3 linked regions of the Drosophila melanogaster genome follow. Changing the gene in region 3 together with the main gene of any one other region gives a genetic interaction. Each region holds a gene or a part of one and is shown on either strand. Other genes may lie near its edges.

The links.
Region 1: of mrn (region 3) and p53, changing one enhances a phenotype caused by changing the other (phenotypic enhancement), as found in Drosophila melanogaster (one study listed by BioGRID).
Region 2: of mrn (region 3) and Tfb5, changing one suppresses a phenotype caused by changing the other (phenotypic suppression), as found in Drosophila melanogaster (one study listed by BioGRID).

Annotation. Positions count from the first base shown.
Region 1 is NT_033777.3:23,048,225-23,057,494, forward strand, and holds p53 (p53), read right to left. Parts: upstream 5,859-9,270; 5' UTR 5,785-5,858; coding exon 5,741-5,784; exon of another isoform or gene 5,682-5,740; coding exon 5,358-5,681; exon of another isoform or gene 5,171-5,357; coding exon of another isoform or gene 5,133-5,170; exon of another isoform or gene 4,976-5,132; coding exon 4,895-4,975; exon of another isoform or gene 4,825-4,894; coding exon 4,788-4,824; exon of another isoform or gene 4,725-4,787; coding exon 4,698-4,724; exon of another isoform or gene 4,692-4,697; intron 4,680-4,691; coding exon of another isoform or gene 3,465-4,679; intron 3,007-3,464; exon of another isoform or gene 2,996-3,006; coding exon of another isoform or gene 2,966-2,995; intron 2,901-2,965; coding exon 2,591-2,900; intron 2,527-2,590; coding exon 2,280-2,526; intron 2,218-2,279; coding exon 1,823-2,217; intron 1,764-1,822; coding exon 1,741-1,763; 3' UTR 1,433-1,740; downstream 1-1,432. Other genes in the region: Gr94a (gustatory receptor 94a), read left to right, coding at 3,465-4,679; Ctns (cystinosin), read right to left, coding at 6,299-6,404, 6,505-6,607, 6,664-6,952, 7,139-7,499, 7,565-7,747, 7,818-7,914, 7,975-8,029.
Region 2 is NT_033779.5:5,008,291-5,013,607, forward strand, and holds Tfb5 (transcription factor B5), read right to left. Parts: upstream 2,545-5,317; 5' UTR 2,477-2,544; coding exon 2,442-2,476; intron 2,384-2,441; coding exon 2,197-2,383; 3' UTR 2,143-2,196; coding exon of another isoform or gene 1,687-2,142; 3' UTR 1,641-1,686; downstream 1-1,640. Other genes in the region: Rtnl1 (Reticulon-like1), read right to left, coding at 1-1,085; CG31917 (uncharacterized protein), read right to left, coding at 1,687-2,142; SelT (selenoprotein T), read left to right, coding at 2,900-3,045, 3,122-3,572; vkg (viking), read right to left, coding at 4,221-4,854, 4,922-5,145, 5,207-5,317.
Region 3 is NT_037436.4:15,577,141-15,583,554, forward strand, and holds mrn (marionette), read right to left. Parts: upstream 3,398-6,414; 5' UTR 3,367-3,397; coding exon 3,068-3,366; intron 3,013-3,067; coding exon 1,812-3,012; 3' UTR 1,629-1,811; downstream 1-1,628. Other genes in the region: Ufsp2 (UFM1 specific peptidase 2), read left to right, coding at 1-1,406; CG12301 (uncharacterized protein), read left to right, coding at 3,750-4,154, 4,214-6,124.

The sequences.
Region 1 (9,270 bases), on a different chromosome or scaffold from region 3:
CGTGTACAAGCTTTCGACTCTATAGCAGTATTTCCCCCCATTGAGTGAAGATCGCCAGCCGCTCGACGCTATCTGGTTTTCGTATCTACGAGCTGCAGATTTGAGTGGGCAGCGGTAGCACCTTTGAGTGGAAGCGCCGAGTCGCGAGTGAAGCTACTGCGTTTCACCTGACGTCTTAGCCCGGCTTTCTGTGGTTGTTTCCTTTTTTTGTTGTTTTTTATGTGTTTGGGCCATATTGTTTTCCCCACGCGCACAGTGGGAACTGCGGATGAAGATCGTAGCCGATAAGAGCCCAGCCGTGTTTGCTTTCCCTTTATCTGGTCCGTAAAGATGGGGTATCTGCCAGTTTAAAATGATAAACAACTGCTTGAATATAGTATGAGTCTTAATATCTTCCCGAAATAATTATGTAAATTATGAGTCACTGCCTCCCAGTGTGCGCCACTTTCGAATTGTCAACCTTTTGGCACCCGCCAATCAAAGAAACGTATTTAATTGGGCTTCTAAGGCGATTGCATCGCTTGGGAAAAGTGCACTGAAAAAAATATATACTGAAGTATATACAGCTGTGCTTATTCTGAGAAGTGGGTGATATTTAATTTTAGTGGATTTTATTTTTACAACTTTTGTTATCAGAATGACTTGTTTGGAAACCTCGAATAAATAATTAAACAAATTATGATACATTTATATTTGTTCTTTGTGCTTTAAGTATTACAGATATGTTTGCGTACTTTATTATTCTGTTACACAAAGCCGCATGTATGTTCCCAGTGCAGAAAGGTCTCTCGAACTCAACTCGTATCCAAAACCACTTTTCTGTGCGCTCGTCCAACGAGAATTGAGTGAGTTGCTCCGCTGGGTTTTGAGCACTTTGAACGACCCATTTTCGTGGTGCCAAACTGGTAGTGGAAGTGGCAGCCGGTCGAAGAAGGACAGGCCCCAAATGGAAGTGAGTGCATCCGCTTTGGCTGAATTTTTGGACACAGAGGCTATCATTCCGTTACGATTAGGGCGCACTTAATGCCCCTGCCCTAGGTCAATGAACAGCGATCGGTGGGCTAGAGTAAACATTTAGCTGCCGCATGTGGCAAAAGCTAAAGTCGCCTGCAGCTGCAGCGGCACAGTGTCAACATCTGGTGTTTGTTGCACTTTTTTGCATCCTCGCACATGTGCAACGCTGGCGCAACGCATGCGCCCTGCTTGAGGTTGTTTTTTTTTTTTTGAAAGCATAGAACTAAAACCAAAGACGTGCAGATACGGGTATAAATAAAGTATGTAAATGCGACGCAGCAATTTTGACATATTAGCAGCTAGCTAGCTGAGTTGCATCCTGAGTGCATTGACCGCACACAAGCCACACATGTCACATAGCATGTGCTCCACGGTGGGGGTACAGTAGGCTCTGGGCATTGGCGTACACCACGAGGATATGTTTGCAAAATATGACAACTCTTTAATAAATTCACTTTTGGCTTTTTTGTACAGAGTATGTTTGTTGTGGTAGACAAAAGTTACGTAGTCACATAGAACTGCAGTTAACAACAGTATACTATCAAAAATATAAAAATGTTTTCTTTTCGGCCATCGAACATGCCAAAAGGGGAATATCACCGTTAAACGCCTTACGAACAAGGACTAATACAAACTTAAGATACTAATAGCTATGTAGTATACCCCACAGATGCAACACATTTCAAAGGTATCTGATACCTGGGAGATTGTCGACCAGATCAGAAGTCATGGCAGCTCGTAGGCACGTTCTGAAAGGAAAGTTCGGTAAGTAAAGCTTAATCTCTTTGTCCTCCGATTCACTGCTTACTCTTAAGGCTCAGCAATTTGTTGGCATGGCGACGTAGATTCTCTTGGTTGGGATTGCGCAGGACTTCAGCCGCCGCCTCCTTAATCATGCCCTCGATGCTCTGCAGCAGCCATTCCTTATTGGGGCACGTAATAGCCAGACGGTAATCGCCATCCGGTGTCCGCGACACGTTCCACTCTGCGGCGGAGTCGTCGCAGTCTCGGCTATCATTGCTCTCCGTGTCCTCCGTCTTTATAGCAATGCACCGACGCACCTTGGACGGCTCATCTTCTTCGGCGGCTTCCGGCACGGACTTGCGCTTCTTGCTATTGAGCTGGCGTTCGTCTTGGATGCGATCCCGCTTGGGGCACGTACATATTTTAACATGTATAACATGCTGTCCCACGATATCGCCGCTGCAAGAAAGAAAACACGTTAAGCTTTGTTCTAGCCATCTAGAGTTTTGCTGTCACCTTACCATGCTTTCTCCAGGCAGAAGACTAAGGAAGTTTCTTTTCGCCCGATACACGAGTTTTGGCAGACGAACTTGAAGGCCAGGGTCTGGCGCGTGAGCCCACTGCGGGTTACAGACCGGCTCATGTTCAGGGGGACTACAACGGAAAAACGCTCGGAAATTCCCTTGCCCTGAGCATTTCCACAATATACACTGTTGGGATTCTCGCTGCGCAGCAAGCTCTCGCGCATTTTTGCGTTATTGGCCGTCACTAAAGGTTTGTACAAATGATAGTTAAATAATCCTGTTCGATCTGTATTGTTATCTTCACTTACAAGGCTCAACGCTAAGGTGATTTTGACAGCGGACCACGGGAGCACTCACATCATTGGAGAAGCAAAGGAACACACGCAAATTAAGTGGTTGGATGGGCATTTTAGACTTGAACTGAACGTCCACGTTGAAGGCCTTGTTCATCCGGATGTAGAGCTTGTTCAGCGGAATCGAGTACATCCAAAGAGACTTGGGCGGCTCATCCAGAACCATGCTGAAGCAATAACCACCGATGTTGTGATTCTCTAGCTTGGGCAGCGTGTTCGCCTGGATCTGAATGTCCTGCAGCATCATTTCGCGCAGCACGGATTGCTGTAAGCAAAAACAAGATATTATTTGAATGTCAACTTAACTCGCAATCATATAAGGGTTCACACTTTGCGCTCATAGAGCTGATAGAGCTTCATGTTCCAGCTTGCTCGAGTTACAAATGGACTGGCGATTTGTTTTGTATTCTATTCTATTTTTCACAAGTGCTTGAAATTCTCGCTAAACGATGACGACGGGAAGGAGTGCACCGTGCTAATCGGCTAGATAAGAGTGTTTTGTTCTGTCCTCCAACTGAAAGTGAACTTCGAAGCGACTTTGACGTCATGTCGCTCTTATGAAATTGCAGGCAGCGGCTGAGTCACGCAAGGAATGCCGCTTCCCTCACGCTTCTTATGCTCTTTTGTTTGTGGCTAGTAGTAGCACAACGCATGCTCAGTTGGTTTCTGGACGGCCGGTGAAATACATGCGTTTCGCGATGTGTCCCGATAGTGTCCGGCTACTTGACAGGTCCTCTAGATGGCATCAGTTGGGTAGTTGGAAAACAATTAAGCAGATATTAATGCTGTGGAAAGTGCGCTCACAGTTTGTATTAATTGTTCGAGAGAAATGGACTTCACCAGCGACTACGCGCATCGGCGTATGGTGAAATTTCTGACGATCATACTGATAGGCTTTATGACCGTCTTCGGACTCCTGGCCAATCGATATCGGGCGGGCCGTCGTGAAAGATTCCGCTTCTCAAAGGCAAATCTGGCCTTTGCTTCGCTGTGGGCAATTGCATTCAGCTTGGTTTACGGGCGGCAAATCTACAAGGAGTACCAGGAGGGTCAGATCAACCTGAAGGACGCCACCACTCTGTACAGCTATATGAACATTACGGTGGCTGTTATTAACTATGTGTCGCAAATGATAATCAGTGACCATGTGGCCAAGGTGTTGAGCAAAGTGCCCTTCTTTGATACCCTAAAAGAATTCCGTCTGGACAGCAGGTCGCTGTACATATCCATCGTTTTGGCTCTGGTCAAGACCGTGGCTTTTCCTCTAACAATTGAAGTGGCTTTCATACTGCAACAGAGGCGGCAGCATCCCGAGATGAGCTTGATCTGGACCTTGTACCGGCTGTTTCCCTTAATTATTTCGAATTTTCTCAATAACTGCTACTTTGGCGCAATGGTGGTGGTGAAGGAGATTCTGTACGCTCTGAACAGACGGCTGGAAGCGCAGCTGCAGGAGGTGAATCTGCTGCAGAGGAAGGACCAGCTAAAGTTGTACACTAAATACTACCGCATGCAGCGATTTTGCGCCTTGGCGGATGAACTCGACCAGCTGGCGTATCGCTATAGGTTGATATATGTGCATTCGGGAAAGTATCTGACCCCAATGTCCTTGTCCATGATTCTGTCGCTCATATGCCACCTGCTCGGAATAACGGTGGGTTTCTACAGTCTGTACTATGCCATAGCGGACACCTTAATCATGGGCAAGCCGTACGATGGTCTTGGATCGCTGATCAATCTGGTTTTCCTCTCCATCTCGCTGGCGGAGATCACATTGCTCACGCATTTGTGCAACCACCTATTGGTGGCCACCCGAAGATCGGCAGTCATTCTCCAGGAGATGAATCTCCAGCATGCGGACAGCCGCTACCGTCAGGCAGTCCACGGCTTTACTCTGCTGGTCACGGTGACCAAGTACCAAATTAAACCCTTGGGCTTGTACGAGCTGGACATGCGACTGATCAGCAATGTCTTCTCGGCGGTGGCCAGCTTCCTGCTGATCCTCGTGCAGGCCGATCTGTCCCAGCGCTTCAAGATGCAATAGCTAATCGATGTTACCCACCTGGCTGAACTGCATCAGATTCCCGGACTGCGGGGAATAATATTAAATAGTTAGTAAGCTATAGCTTTGCACATTAAAAGCACAACTCACGTTTAATCCCTGCAAGAAGGCCATGGGTTCCGTGGTCCTGGAATAATAAAAACAATAATAGTTAGCAACCAGGCAAACCACATGTGACCACGTGACCAGGTACTCACAATTCCGATCCCGATACCTCCACCGTTTTCGGAATATCCTCCTTGATATCGACCTCCGTGGAGTCATCCTCGGAATCAGTGCTAAAGTGTAAAAGGGAAATAAAAACTTAGTGGCAAACTGCGCCTTGGCTGGATAAACAAACACAAACAAGTTGGCCGCGCGAATGATGCAAGTACAAGCGTGTTGCTACATGCAAGGTTTCTACTGTTCGATCATCAATTTGTTGCCGCACTGTACCTTTCTTTGTGCCACGACATTGGCTGTGATATATACATCTTAGTCGGCTATATCTGATCAAGCGATCTTGTTGGGGAAGGAGGCTAAATATTAAAAATTCGCTAACAAAAAACTACAGAATCGTAGTGGCCACCGACTATTTGGATTTTGCCATTCGCCACGCAGCGCGAACAATCGCCGTAGCCAATGTTTATCGATTGGAGCGCGTGTTTTGAATTTGCTCACCCCTTGTGGCAGACGAATTTGTTGCATGCATTAATTTTGTTATTGCCATCGGAATTATTGTTGGCCAAAATTTCCAGATTGTTCGTGAACTGCATCATGTTGTTCGTGTTGTTGCCTCCGTAGGCTGGATCCACAGGCGTAGCCAGGTGGGCATATTCGTTGGATTCGTTGCCAAAACTCTGCGGCAAGTTGAAAGCTCCGTTGCTGGAGACCCGAACTGCTGACTCTGCAGAAACTTCGTTGCCGATATCCCAAAAATCCAGGAACTCCTTGAAAGCTTCAAAAATTGTGCGACTATTGCTACGCGAAACAATCGAAGTGTTTCTGCAAAAAGGCGCAACATTATTTTGTTGGGTAAGACCGAATAAAATATCTCCGCTCACTGGTTAAAAGTCAAGCTAAACGACGCGGACTTGTGAAGACTCATGGCTGTGCACTCAAATAAATAAATTTTATTTAGCAGTTGCGATTTGTGTCCGCAAGAATCTTCCGTGCTCCAGGGATGTCAACTAACCGGAAATTGGCTAACTTAATGTCATATATCCATGGCTATCGATAAGCTATCGATAAGGATTTGGCCGAGTGCGAACAGTGCTGCCCATTGTGCGGCAAGTTAGAATTTCTGTTTTGAAATTTTTTCAATACTTCAATCTATTTATTAGTTTGCAAATAACGCGCCGTATGCAGCAAATTGGTTTCACTGCACAGCCCTTTGAATGGTCGAGCAATGTACCGTATGATTTCTGGCTCCTACAAAAAATTAAGTTTTATTTAATGGTGAAATTCCAAATTTTAGTCAAACTAAATTTCAATTAAAACGCACGAATTATACAAAGCTTAGGCAGCTACGGCATACGGATATATTTACAATTCTAAAAATGTACATAAAGCGCTACTGGCACAAAAGTCTTTCTCTACAGCAGACATATGATAATGCAGCTCTAATATTTCTCAGTCGTCACTTCGCTCGGCGGCGGCGACTCATTTGTTCGATTTTGAACATCGGTCACGGTGGTGAGGTCAGAGCTCGAGGATTCCCTCGAATGCCTGGGGAGAAATGGAAAACAGCACAGCAATAATGATAAGTGTACAGTGGAGATGACATAATCGTAGATTAAGTATCATATTCACACAATGTTTCAATCACCTGTAAAACACATAGTGCTGCAGCATGAAGAACACATCGAAGAGCACGGAAAACAGACCCAGTCCGAATTTGGTGGGATCACCGAAAATCGACACCCAATCATCTGGAAACCAGACACGATTTCATTCGAAAATCACAAATTGATAGACTATATCCTACCGTAATTATGAGCATTCAGAATCATTTGCAGCATGCTCAGCGTTCCTCCCGTGAAATCCAGCAGAATGTTGCCGATGCTCCAGCCGGAGGTGCTCTTCCGGCGATAGTTCATCAGAGCTTGCGGCACGTACTTGATGATGGTAATGGTTAGCTTGACGTAACTGCAGTAGTACAGAAAGTCCAGCCAATGGATGACGGATCCTCCGGCCAAACCGGCAGACACGACGACCACCACGGCGAAGATGGCCAATATTCCGTAGGCAATGAACGACACCCTTTGCTGTGCTCTCTGGACAAATTTAACAAAGTATGGATGTTTTACAAGTCAAAACCTTATCTACTCTTCATATCGTAACTATCCGCTGTGATTCAAATGATTTGGCATTTTGATTGATGGCAATTAGTGTTCAATGCGACAACTGTTGCCACTTCGGCGATAAGGCTATTGAATGGTATTTGCTATATATATTATTACCTGATAGAAAAAGCACTGAAGGATCGTAATGCAGGTGGCGAACATGGCATGCAGTGAGAAGACCACGTCGTTGAGCATCACAGGATTCACTCCCAGCGGATATCGCACCTCGTACTCGTTCTGCAGATCCTCGATGAAATAGAGGCCGCAGTTGAACATGCTGTACAGGGTGAAGCCCACGATATTGAGGGCCAGGAAATCAAAGTTCAGTCCCTCGACGGACTTGCGGCGATAGTTGCTCCAGATCTGCGGATAGAAGGACACCGACCAGGCCACAAAGTAAACCCAGCCAAAGATGATGGAGGTGTAGATCAAAGCTCTCGATTTGGCCACAGTCACGCGTACGAACACATCCTTCACACTGGAAAATAAGTGAATTTTCCAATTAGGTACGGGAACAGTTGGGATTCCCGTGAAGTTACTCACATCTCTTTGTTCGCATCATCGCTATCTGCGACCACTTTGACGTTGCCGGCTTTGAGGCCAGTTATCACCACCGACTGATTTCGAGTACTGCCCGCTGGATACACAAACGTTGCGGGATCGAGGAGCAAATGATCCTCCGAATCTGTTCCCAGCGCAACTTCCACGTCGCTGTCTAGCAATCCGCTGTAATGGGCACAATAGATTTACGATGCCATATGTTTTGGATTTGGATTTCCCGGCAATGGCAACTCACTTGGCGAACACCAGAAAAGTCTCGTTGCTGTTCAGCAGAACGGTGATGTCATGGGAATCGACGGTGAGCTGACTGCTTTGGGCATTTCCCAGGGCAACTGTGGGCAGGAGAAATTCCCTCATTATTAGATCGCAATATCTGGATTGCGATATCTCACCTGTGGCCAGGAGGAGGAGCAGCAAAGTGGTCAGGCGGTGTGTGCTGAAATCCATTCTGCTTGCGTTCAACGTTCAACTTATTCATGCATGAGCATCCAGTCCTGCTGGCATCTTCTTCAATGAAGCCCTATATGGTATTGTATTGATTCAATTGTGAATTACTTCAATTGACCAATTGACCACGATCGGGTGAAATTGATATCTACTCGTAGGAGTATGGAATGCAATTCCTGACACCTTTTTTTTTTTTGCTTCTTAATTTAATGACCCGTGCAGACACTCAATCAATAAGGAATATAATATGATATAAAATGATATAAACATAAAACTATTTGTTCCAAAAAAAAAACTTGCAGTGCAAACTACGCACGCTCGCTTCATCTGGAATTCGTGTGTGTTTTTGTCGAGATAAAAGTCGGTAACCTTCATCAAATGTCGCTCAATGTTACAACTTTGCAATTGGAGCACACTTTCCCACGGCAAGCGTTGGAGCACCCATTTTATGTGCCTATATGGCCCAAATGGACGTAACAGGAAATACATGGGCTTTGTCGGTCGATCGTAAAACCAAAAGATTCCCGATTGTTCATACTATATTTTTTATATGGCGAGGGCCGTGACTTGGCGATTGCCAAGAAGTGTAAAACACCGCGTGAGAACGGGCTTATCTCAATCAATGGAGCTAGCTGATAGTGTCCGTCGAATTATTGCGGCAGTCTGCCACAAGTTGCAGATAATCAATAGATTGGGCAATGCACTGCGATTGCAATACTAATCGCAAGTCACGATCCAAATTTTGGTTCTACATAAATCAAAACTAATGAGAGTGGTAAACTACAAGGGTAATTTAAAGTTCGAACACCATATCTTTCACGATCGTTCACACGAATCTTCATGTTTCAACTGATATGCACCATAAGTTATTCACTAATTCTGTTTCAATTCTGGTGATAGATAAGACGATTGATTGGTAAAAAGGTCCATTGTTAGTTAACAGTAACACCCATTTATTCATTCATGATTCCACGCACGAGATACGCTTGTTGTGCGTCTGTTTGAGCCGGATTAGAACTTTCACTGGCATGTGGGCAAGCAGAGGCTTTTAGCCGCCAACTGCTAACGCAAAACATCTGTATAAGCCGCCGGATTATTGTGATTAAGATAATGCGGATTAGAACAGTTGTTTGCCTATGCTATATGCATGATCGCCACCCAACACATCAATTCACTCACGTTAAGAATGAAGTTAAATAATGTGTCCCAACTGACGATTGAGCGACTGCCGATGGCTACAA
Region 2 (5,317 bases), on a different chromosome or scaffold from region 3:
GGTTTGGGTGGCTCTGGTTTCGGCTCGACTACGGGTGCGGCGATGGTGGGTGCCTTCGGCGCCTCCTGGACAGTGGGTTTGAACACCACCTCCTCGTCATCCAGGTCGGTTATCAAAGCGGTTGTCACGGGTACAGCCACTGGAACCGGCTGGGGTTTGGCAACTGGTACTGATACTGGTACTGCCACTGGAGCAGGAGCAACAGCTGGAGCAGCATCGAGAATGGGAGCTGGTGCGGGTGCTGGTGTGGGTGCTGAGCGTGGCTCCTCCTTAAAATCGCTGGCCAGATCTTCCGACGAGATGAACTTCTCGTTGTCCTGATCCTTGAGGGCATCTACAATGGGTTTCTTGGCCGGCGATGGTGTGTACGAGACGGACGGCGATTCAGTGTCGGAATCCTGGTTGGCCTTGGTCAATGGGGCGACAGGAGCTGCTGGGGCAGCAGTGGTTGGCTTGCCCAGGAAGTCATCCTCCTCGTCGTCATAGAAATTGGCCGTGGACGGTGCCGTTGGCTGGAAGGCCTGGAGTGGTGCCGATGGCTGGTCAGTGAAGCTGCCCAGGAGGTCCTCCTCGACAGGAAGCGGAGCTGGGACAGCAGGAGCTGGCGCCACTGGAGCTGGAACGGCCGGAGCATGATCGGGAACAGCTGGAGCTTGTGCTGGAATAACCGGAGCTTGAGCTACCGTCTCTGAGAATGGAGCCAGGGGAGCGGAGAAGCCCCGCTCGGCATTCATAAAGTCGGTGGTCAGTCCACTGATGCCCTGCTTCACCTCCTTGCCAGCGTCGCGCAGAAAGTCCTCGAAATCATCAGTCTTCTGTGCAAACTTGGTGTCCAAATCGAGTTTGGCATCCTTAGCGTCGGCGGCCAGGCGTTGGACAAACTCCTGCGCATCGCCAAAGTCCAACTTCTTTTGCTCGTTGGCGAAGTAGTGCTCCGTGTGGGCATTATCGTCCTGGGCACCACCACTCACATTGCCAGTATCGCCACCAAGTGCAGAGTCTTCGTAGGCACGTTGCGCCTGCTTGAAGATGTCCTCGTTGGTGGCAGCGGCCTCCTTTTTCAGTTCGTCGAAGTTCCGATCCATATTCTACAGTGTTTTGATTTCAAAATATAACACTTGTGATCAATAAGAAATTTTCACAGATGTGTTTGAATATCCTGGCCTTCTGATTGGAACTTCGCACACACACACACGTACGCACGCACACGACACACCCACACACACACGCACAGGCACCGAGCTACAGCTGATTTTGCCGGTTGAAATTAATATGATTTTTTTTAGCCGACTTAAGTGCCTTCTGGTGACTAAAAGGCCGCAATTCGCAGTGTTTTGTGCTCGGGAACGTTGAATTTAATTTGAACCACAGCGACTCTTTTACAGGCGCCGTCGATGCAGACGTTTGAAAAGTTTCAATGGACCTGCGCTAGAGGTGGCACAGCGGTCGATACTATCGATGACGCTCACAGCATAATTGCCTAAAAATGGACAAATACCTTGAACAGCCATGTTTCGAACCAAAGTTTTGATGTTGCCGGCATCTTTAGCCATGACATTAACCCAATGGCTCTGGCAAATTGGCTAAAATTCACGACAGCTAAAATTTGTTGTATGTATTTCCAGAAACTTCGCGCAATTCAGTTATGCCTAATGTTTGATTTATTTGTAAACATAACAACCATGCTCAGGCCGTCCACTTGAGGCAGCGCGTGTCCTGGTGCGTTTGCAGGCATCTAACGCAACAGTATCGCGTTCCGCAGGCGGTGCACGAGTACAACGAGAAGTTGCCGCAAACGGCGCAGAAATGCCGCAGTGGCTTTTGTGGAGCCGGCGCTGCGGCGCTCTCGTAGTTGGGCTGCTTGTCCTTGTCCTCCTCGAGCAGTTGCTGGAAGTTCTTGCGATACTTGACGAGAAAGTATTCGGCGCCCTTGCGCTTGCCTTTCTTCTCCTTGCCGGTCTTCAGGCTGTCCTGGAATTTGGGCAACTTCTTGGACATGACAAGGTCGGCGTGTGGGTCATCGTGGTAGTTGTCCTGCTCCAGAGCCTCCAAGGCTTTGCGGGCACGCCGCTGGCGGGCTGTGGAGTCCAGGACACGCTTCTTTTCAGCGTCCTTGATGCGGTTGGATTCGCGACCCGTCATGGTTGTTTTTAGGTTTTTACTTTTGGCTATTGGATTTTATGGGTTGTGTAGGTTCTAAGCGTCCTTGTCGTGCAGCGGAAAGCTTATCCGATCCATCAAGTCGTCCACTCGCGCCTGCAAAACTTCCACAATGTCCGTGGAGATAAACAAATGGTTCTCGTCCAGATCCTGGATAATGAATTTGCGTCCCAGAGCCAGTTTTTCGTCCAAGTGCAGCAGGAATTGTTTCATAGCAGGATCACTGCGGGGATTGGGTTGAATATAGCGAAACCAACGCATACCAAACGTATACCACTTACCACTCCACCAGCACTCCTTTCATAACATTTACCATGTTGCCAGCATTTGTTTGCCGAAATTAATAAACAATCTCACCAATTCTCAGAGCTGAATGACATATTCACAGTGAAACGTAGGCTAGAGGTGGCAGTCTTTACTATCGATATTTTTTTGACTTTACTTGATAATTTAATCAATAATTTCAGCATGGCAATATAATATTTACAATCAACGAAATATAACACATTGCTTTAAACCAGCACCCGATATTAACTATATTATGTTAGTTTCACCGTCGGAAGTTTCGTACTTTAAGAAATATAGCTATTTTGCCAGCCCTATCAGTGCTACTCACTACGAAAAGTAGACAGAAGTAGCGGGGTATTTGCCAGTCACACGGACAAACACCAAGGCAAAAGTGTGAGGAAATATTGAATTCCAAATTAAATTCCTAATTAAATCAGACCATAAGCACGCAATGGAAAGGCTGACCGGAAGGAATGTGGCACTACTGGTGCTGTGCCTGTGCGCCGGATACGCCCTGGTGTTCGCCGAGGGCGAGAAGGAGATACCGGTTACCAAATTCGGACAGAACATAGCGCCGACGATGACTTTCCTTTACTGGTGCGTTATATGCGGGGCAATTAACATAATTGATAACAATGACCTCTGTGTTTCTCACCATTGATTCGCCAAATAGCTACTCCTGCGGCTATCGCAAGGCGTTCGAGGACTACGTGGGCCTGCTGGGCGAGAAGTATCCGCAAATTCAGGTGAATGGCGGCAACTACGATCCGCCGGGTCTAAACTATTACCTCTCCAAGATGATATTCGCCCTGAAGATCATAATCATTGTGTCCGTGGTCAGTGCGGTCAGTCCGTTCACCTTCCTTGGCCTGAACACGCCCAGTTGGTGGAGCCACATGCAGGCTAACAAGATATACGCCTGCATGATGATCTTCTTCCTGGGCAACATGCTCGAGGCCCAGCTCATCTCGTCCGGCGCTTTCGAGATAACACTAAACGATGTGCCTGTGTGGTCGAAACTGCAGACGGGACGCTTTCCCTCGCCGGAGGTACTCTTTCAAATCATCGACAACCATCTGCAGTTCACCGAAAAGGTGCAGGAGAATCCGGACTTTGTTAAATAATAGCATTGGACTGACTGGACGGACGGAGGAGCGCGGAAAACAGCAGTTGGACAACACCAAAACAGCCGCAGACATCGATTTCCGGCTCTGAACCTAACTTAAACATAAGCTCTTGTCCCGACATTATCCACTTAGCTGTATTTCTGTTTTCACCCCAACTATAGCCTACTCTACACATCCTAAACGCATCCAATCCGAACCGAACAAAATCGCATTTGATCGGATTTAGATGGGATATAAAGTTCGCTTTAATTTCAATCAAACGAAATTTCTTGTGCATTCGTTTTATGTGTTGTACATTTTATTTATCAAAAAACTGGGCTTTCTTTTTGGTTGTGTTACGTTTACAATAATCCCAACAGGGGCACAAGATTTACTTTCGTTGCAGTGGAGGCAGTGGTTACTCTTCTCGACCCCTCTTCCATAATTCCATAATTATATTTGGTATGTGGCATATGTGTCATATGGTTTTAGTTTTTGGTGTCCACGTAATTAGATTACATCTCCACGGAAAATGGCACTGTTCTGTGGTTAAAGTTTTGTTTGTTTGGTACTCGAGTTGGGGTTTGGATCGTTATCTCGTTTCCTGGATAGGATAGCAAATTACTTAAGACGTATATTTAACTGCTACTTAGTTCGAACTGCAATCTAGGGGGCGGTGGTGTCCTCGCGTGGGCGTCGGTTGTACTGGCGGGTATTGCCACCATGGCGAGCATACTCATCGTAGGCCTGCAGGTTGCTCGGGTGAACCCTTTGCTGGTACCTTCCGTTCAGATAGTTTGATGGGCCGCGACTGCGCGTGATCCAAGAGGAGCGCGTGGACCCGGCGTTAGATTCGGGATTGGAACCAGGACTGGAGCCCGTGGACCAGCTAGAGTACGATCCCGGATTGGAGACCGATCCTGCTACGGGTCCGGAATGCCAGCTGGATCCAGCATTGGTCCTCGATTGCCAGGCGGCGTTGGAGCCAGGATAAGCTCCGGCATTGGAGCCAGGATAAGCTCCGGCATTGGAGCCAGAATAAGCTCCGGCATTGGAGCCAGGATAAGCTCCGGCATTGGATCCAGATGACCAGGATCCGGAGCTGGAACCAGGACTGGACTGAGAGCCAGGACTGGAAGACCGGCCGGATTGCCAGTTTGCCCTGTAATTGCCATCTGTTTTCAAACTGCCCGAAGGATTACTCGAGGCAGAACCATCTGTGAAACCGGAAGACGCATCTGCCCTGGACTTTGCAGTGCGAGCCACAAAGCTGTTGCCTCGACGACGGCAAACCGTGCACCTGAAAGATGATACCGCCATTGTAGATACATATGTATACAGCTAATGGGTTTGCTCAAGTAACCCACCTGCTTATCTTGCTGGTAAAATCCGCCTTTAGCGTCTGCTGGCGCGGCTGGACGAACTGATCCTGCTCCTCGATGACGGTTAACCAGAAGGAGGCCAGCGCATCGTAGTAGTTGCAGCGTCCATGGCCATGGCACTCGATCACCGGCTGGGCGCGGAACTCCTCCAAGCAAGAGCCCGGGGAGACGAGGTTCTGCCCAACGCCACCGACGTTGTCCAAGGTGCTCTGAAAGGTTGGGTAACGGTGGGTTAACCTTTAATTCCTTATGCTGAGAATAGTAACCTACCATGAAGTAACTGTAGCCGGTCCACATCTCCTCCCAGCCGCCTGGACAGTCCGGAATGGACATGGATTGCGAGTGGAGGGCGATGATCCTGGTCGTCGTTTCGCACACAAC
Region 3 (6,414 bases):
AGTGCGGATTCTTTCTGCAAACGGCCGCCACACCGGAATCCGTGGCCCGGGAAATGCATGTGCTGCGCAAAAGGGTAGCCGACGGAAATCTAGTGTTTAACGTTCCGCAGACAAAGATTTTCATTAATAACTACGGGCCACTGGACAAACAGTTTAGCGGCGATTCCCAAATTCAGGATCTTATAGACGTCATTCCAACTCCAGGACATGAAAAGGAGACTGCCAGTGTCGACAAAAAGAAGCTTAAAGGTCAGAACACGCCAGTCAAGAGACTGGCTCCGACTGGCTGCGACTACGAGGTGATCCCCATCGATGTGATGCGCTCGCGCAGTCGTGATCCCGTGTCCGGAGAGCCACCTCATCCGGCACTCAGCATTGCTGTGACCAATGAGGAACAGATCCGAGTCCAGGTACCATTAGAGATCGAAGCCATGGCCATTCTCTGCCGCAAAACGAAGCTCCAACGGCTATACGACGTACTCATCGAGAGCATCTGCAGAGGTCTCAGATTGTTCGAACTGAGCCTGATTGAGCATCTCACGGAGTCGGGAAGTGGAAAGCTGCTGGTGCCCGCTAGCTATCACTTCTACCCACAAGAGTTTGGTCACTTCGTGAGCTGCGCCTATCTGGAAGGTCTGAGTGACGATACACCAAGCATGCTAATGAGACGCAAGCGCCTGCATCGACAGTTTGCTTTGCCCATCAGTCGTCCTTATTTCCGCAGGGCCAACCAGATGCTTTTCCTAGGTGAAACGGAGGACGCACCATGGACTCCGCTGCTAAATACCCACATCGGATTACGTCCCAGTGGAGTTGTCGACGGCAAAGAGTACTTAGTAAATGGTAACTACCATTACTATCATTACCTGCAACAGCAGGTGCAGGACAAGGGATGGGGATGCGCATATCGCTCGCTGCAGACGATCTGCTCCTGGTTTGTGCTGCAGGGTTATACGAACGCACCGATTCCGACGCATCTGGAGGTGCAGGAATACCTTCACAAGATCAACGACAAACCTGCTGCATTCGTGGGTTCTTCTCAGTGGATTGGTTCCACAGAAATCAGCATGTGTCTGCAGGGATTCCTTAACGTGGACTCAAAAATTCTGCACGTAGCCTCTGGAGCTGAGCTGGCGACTATTGCCTCCGAGCTGGCGATGCATTTCCAAACGCAAGGTACACCGGTAATGATTGGTGGCGGTGTTCTGGCCCACACCATTATCGGGGTGGACTACTGCGTGCAGACGGGTCAGGTGAAGTTCCTCATCTTGGATCCCCATTATACAGGTGCCGATGATTTGGCCACCATTCAAATTAAAGGTTGGTGCGGCTGGAAGGGCATGGACTTTTGGGCCAAGGGCAGCTACTACAATCTCTGCATGCCCCAGCGTCCCATTTTGTATTAGGTTGAGCTAGTTTCTTTTCCACTCGCATTTAGGTAGGCGAGGATGTTTCGATATGCTTTCTTTAGGTATAACGTATAGGACATTCTAAATTTTCTATTTTATTGGGTAAATAAAATTATTTTGTATGCATTTGTTAGTTGTCTCTTCACTGTTTTTTACGTTTAGCAATATTACATGTCGACCCATCCTAAAGGACAATCTAGGAAAAGCTTTGGTGGTTTTCTGTTTTTATGTGTATGATACTTGTGTATTTTAATTTTATTCCACTTGTATGTTGAATGTCGATGATAAATGTGTAATCCCACACTCCCTTATTAAACCATATTTTAAAATTTTAGCTTGTAACAAAATGGGCACAGATGTTACTTCTAAAATAACTTCCCAATAATTGGTCGTAATACCGGGCTAAACACCACTCTTAGAGTACTTCTTCCAGTAACGCTTGACATCGTCGTGGCCATTCTTTTGCACCACCATTGTGCGAGTTCGCTCATTTTGCCACACCAGCATGTGGATCGACTGGGCGTAGTCTCGTAGCGTTACGAAATCTGTATGCGAGAGGAACTGATTGTACAGCACGCCTTCGGTGTAGGTGAAGCGATTTCGCTCTAATTCCCACAGCTTAATTTGATCAACGACTGTGGGTGGCAGGCAGGATTTAGAGTGAATGGCTGACTCGACCATGCGCATATTGGGATGCGCATACTGCTCCAGATACGAGACAATCTGCTCTGCCGTGATACCGCCACGCAACGCCTGGCGCACTGAATCGCGGGTTAGCACGCCCACGACGAGATTGGGAAAGCGGTAGAGAAGCTCCGTGAACAGACCTAACACGGCTACCTGGAGCGGAGAATCAGTGTAGGCATACACTCGGTAGTTCGTCTCCACCACAATGTAGCCACAGTCCTGAGTGGCCTCCTCATCCATGGCCACAGATGCAGTCGCAGCCGCCTCCTTGCTTGTCACATTCAGAGCCAAACGTGTGGGATAGAAGCGTCCCTCCTTACGCTTACGTTGGAAGACCAGTCCAAACTCCCGTAGATGCTGCAGGAATGTCAGCATCTGACTGTTCATGCCCTCGGAACTGTAATCCCTGCCCAGCGTTGAAAAACTGAGCTGGAACAACATGGACAAGCATTCCGGCAGGCTGATTCCTCTTTCTTCGCACGTGTCCAGGTACTGTAGCATAAAATGCCACACCTGAGCTCGCGTGTCCAGCAGCAGGAACTGAAAGCCCTGCCGGGTTATTGTGATACCGTCTCGTTCATCACGTTTCATGAGATTGGCGTGCAGCAGAATCCGAACGGCGTCCGGACTAATGGCCTCCGCATCGGTGCCATTGCGATTTCCGGTGCCGACCATGTAGTGCAACACGCAACGCCAGCGGGACATGGCGTATGTATCCAGAAAAGCAATGTCCCTGGGCTTCGAGTCCTTATCCAGCGTGTTGGTCATAGGCCAAGGTTTTCCGCCGCCCAGCAGCACCTGGCGTACGCTTTTCTTGAAGGTGGGCGAGAGCTCCCACGCAGAAAGGCCACCCGGAATGGCTGTGACCCGCCAGACGTTCAAAGCCGTCAGGCAGCTGGTTGCCTCGGCTTGCTCCCTGCAAAAGTAATGCATTGCAATGATATTGTTTATCCAATTGGATACAGTCATACTTGGCACAACGTTGGGCACCCCATGATGTGACCACCGCTTGTGGCACAGGCTGATCCACGAACAGTATCCTTATGATAAACTGCCGGGCTATCTCTGGAAGCTCCCGAAAAACGGCCAAACAAATGGGCGGATAGTTGTACAGCTTCTCCAGCGACTCTGGCGTTTGGCGGGTGCGCAGATACTCCTGAAAGTCCTTACACTCCAAGTTCGCAGGACCCTGCCCCAAGGGCGACAGGACGGCGTTTCCACTTCCCCCGGCAGCCGAATGCCGACCACTACCGGATTTCGTGTCGGCCATGACGATTCGAATGTCGAATTCGTAAACAAAATATTTTCATCCCGTTGTCATCGATAGCCGGTCTTTCGTGGGGGGACAATCGATAGTAATCATCAAGGGCGTTACGAAGGGGGTTTTCGCTGAGTTAAAAGTACATTTATTGTTAAAAAAAAATCAATTGATTTTTGATGCATAGATATATGTATTGAGTAGTAAATGTTATTATATTTAAGTTAATTTTTAAAAGAAGGCAGCTCCATTTTCCACACTCATGCTATCGAGCACAGGTAGAAATTGTGATGGGCCGCAAAACTTATCGATAACTCTTCAGCTGTTATTCTGCACACGTGCTGCGCGAAGTATTTTTGTATTGTTATTTGATTTTAAATATTTTCCTGACAAAAATGAGTGACGACGAGGAGCACTACGAACCAAAGGCACACAAGAAGCTGCTGCAGGCCATCGGCAGTCTGGGCAAGGTGCAGCACATCCAGAAGTCCACGCGCGACGAGCGGCAGTCGCTCCAGGATGAGTTCCAGCTGGTAAAAGGTGTTTCGTCAGCGGAAACGGATCATGCCCCCAGAGCCGTGGGTCTGAACGATCTGGTAGACATCCTACGCACCTCCACCAAGCACAGTCAGACGGGCAAGAAGCTCAAGAACATCCATGGCAGCAAAAAGGTGCTACAGAAGCCGCTGGAGAAACCAGCTGCGGATCGAATTAAACGGACCATTGGCTACGAGGGAGTTACCAAGAAACTCGGTCGTTGGGATGCTGTGGTGGCTCAACAGAGATCTGCGGAGACGCAGGTGAATGAATGCCAATGCTAACAGTGACATACACATATAATCTCCAAAACTTATTACAGATCTTCCCCCTACCATCTGAAACGGTTTACGTAAATACTGCGGCAAATGCCAGGCCTCTAAACACCCGGGTCAAGTCCAATCTTGCTCAAGAACTCGAGGCTAACAACCGTAAACTACGGGAACTGCGCAAAGCGCAAATTGGGGATACCACGGATGAAAAGGAGCTGGCCAAGCAAGAGCGGCTTTTACTACAAAAGAAGCTTACCAGGGACGAACTATTTGCCCGTCGCAAGGAGCTAGCTTACCTGAAGATGCGCGAGTCTCAAAAGTCAGCAAAGGCGCGCATGCAAAACAAAATCAAATCGAAAAAGTTCCACAAGCTGCAGAAGAGACAAAAAATGTTGGAGCAGATGAAGGAGTTCGAGTTGCTGCAGAAAACCGATCCAGAGGCGGCGCTGGAAAAGCTTAATGCCCTGGAAAAGAGTCGAGTGCAGGAGCGTGCCAGCCTGCGGCACAAGAACACCGGTACTTGGGCGAAGAATCTGCAGATACGGGCCAAGTACGACAAGGATGTGCGAAAGGATCTGGCCGAGCAGTTGGCTGTTAGCAGGGAACTGACCCAGAAAAAGCAGGTGTCAGACAGCGAAGATGAAACCACCAAGAAGAGAGTTTTACCCGAGGAGGAGGATAATGACTACGATCCCTTTAATCCTTGGACAAAAAGAAAAGCTACAGAGCAAACGGAAAATGGAAATGGTGAAAGTGAGGGTTCCAATTGGCGGCAATATTGGACAAAAAGGAATAAAAACGAAAAGTTACTGGAGGAGCATCGTAGGGATTTGGAAGGAGTCCAGGATAATGACGAGCAGGAGGAGAAAGAAACTATTCGGAAACCATTAATAGAAGTAAAACCTGCTAAGAAGAAACTTAAGAAATCGAAAGTTAAGATAGAAAATGGCTGGGAGGTGGAAGATATTTGCCCAACTGATCAGAAAGAAGCCAAGGCAAGCCCGAATTCAAAAGCCATTGATGACATTTTTGAGAAACACGAGGATCATATCAGAGCCAAACTAAATAAGAAAATGGAGAAATTGAGGGAACGGATAAACAAACTTAAAGAAGTTCCTGTCAAGGGAAAGAAGGCGAAAAAGAAGGACGTCTTGCAAAACCTAAAAAGTCTGGCTTTAAAAAAGACAAAGCAACAGATAGAGATTGACGAGCCCCTTAACTACGAGGAGGATAAAAATTCACAGAATAATATCCCTGCCCACGTTGAAGGTAACACAGAAAGCACGGAAATTCCAGCTGTGGATACCATAGATCCCAACAAGGTGACAACTTTGGTGTTTACCCAAAAGAAGGGCAACTCGGGAGGCTTTAACGATGCTCTAATAGACGATGAAGCAGCTGAATACGACGAGGAAGACGCCGCTGCTGAACGCCAGTTGACAATCAGTCAAGCCTTCGAGGATGATGACATTGTAGCTGATTTTAATCGGGACAAAAGCAAGGACTCCGAGCTTAAGAACACTGAGCTTCAGCTCGCCCTGCCTGGATGGGGTTCCTGGGCGGGTGCTGGCATTTCGAAGGAGGTAATGGAGCGACGAAACAAGCGGCTTCTTCTTAAGTTGGCTGCTCCGGAAAAGCGTCGTGACGAGAATAAGGATAATCTTTACCTCAACGAGTCCGCCAGCAAGCAGGCGCGCCAGCACATGGTCTCCAGCATACCATTTCCTTTCCGATCCCTGGCAGACTACGAAGCCAGTATCCGTGCTCCAGTTGGCCGGAACTTTGTGCCGGAGACGGCGTTCCGCATGCTGACCCGTCCGGCAGTAATCACGCGCAAGGGCCAGGTAATCGAGCCCATGACAGAGAGCGAGCTGGTCAAGCCGGACAGGCGTCTACGCCACATCGTGGACAGGAGGATAAAGCGCATACCGAAAGTGCCACCCAAGGCCAAGATAGCATAGAACTAGGAATATTTTTAAAAATAAATCTGAATAATATGAACGATTGCCAGTCTCCTAATTTACTTAGCTATAGAAAGGGAAATTATTATATAAATTGCATTATTTTCTCAAATTGTTTTTTATTTTTGTTAATAACTGAGACATTTCTATAAAAAAAACTTGAATTAAAAAGAGTTAAACAATGTTTTGTTTGATTTTCGTTAAAGGTATAACGACACAACAGTAGTTGACCAAGCAGAATATTCTGGATGAAGTATAAAATGTATAAAAACTACATTTTAAATTTGAAT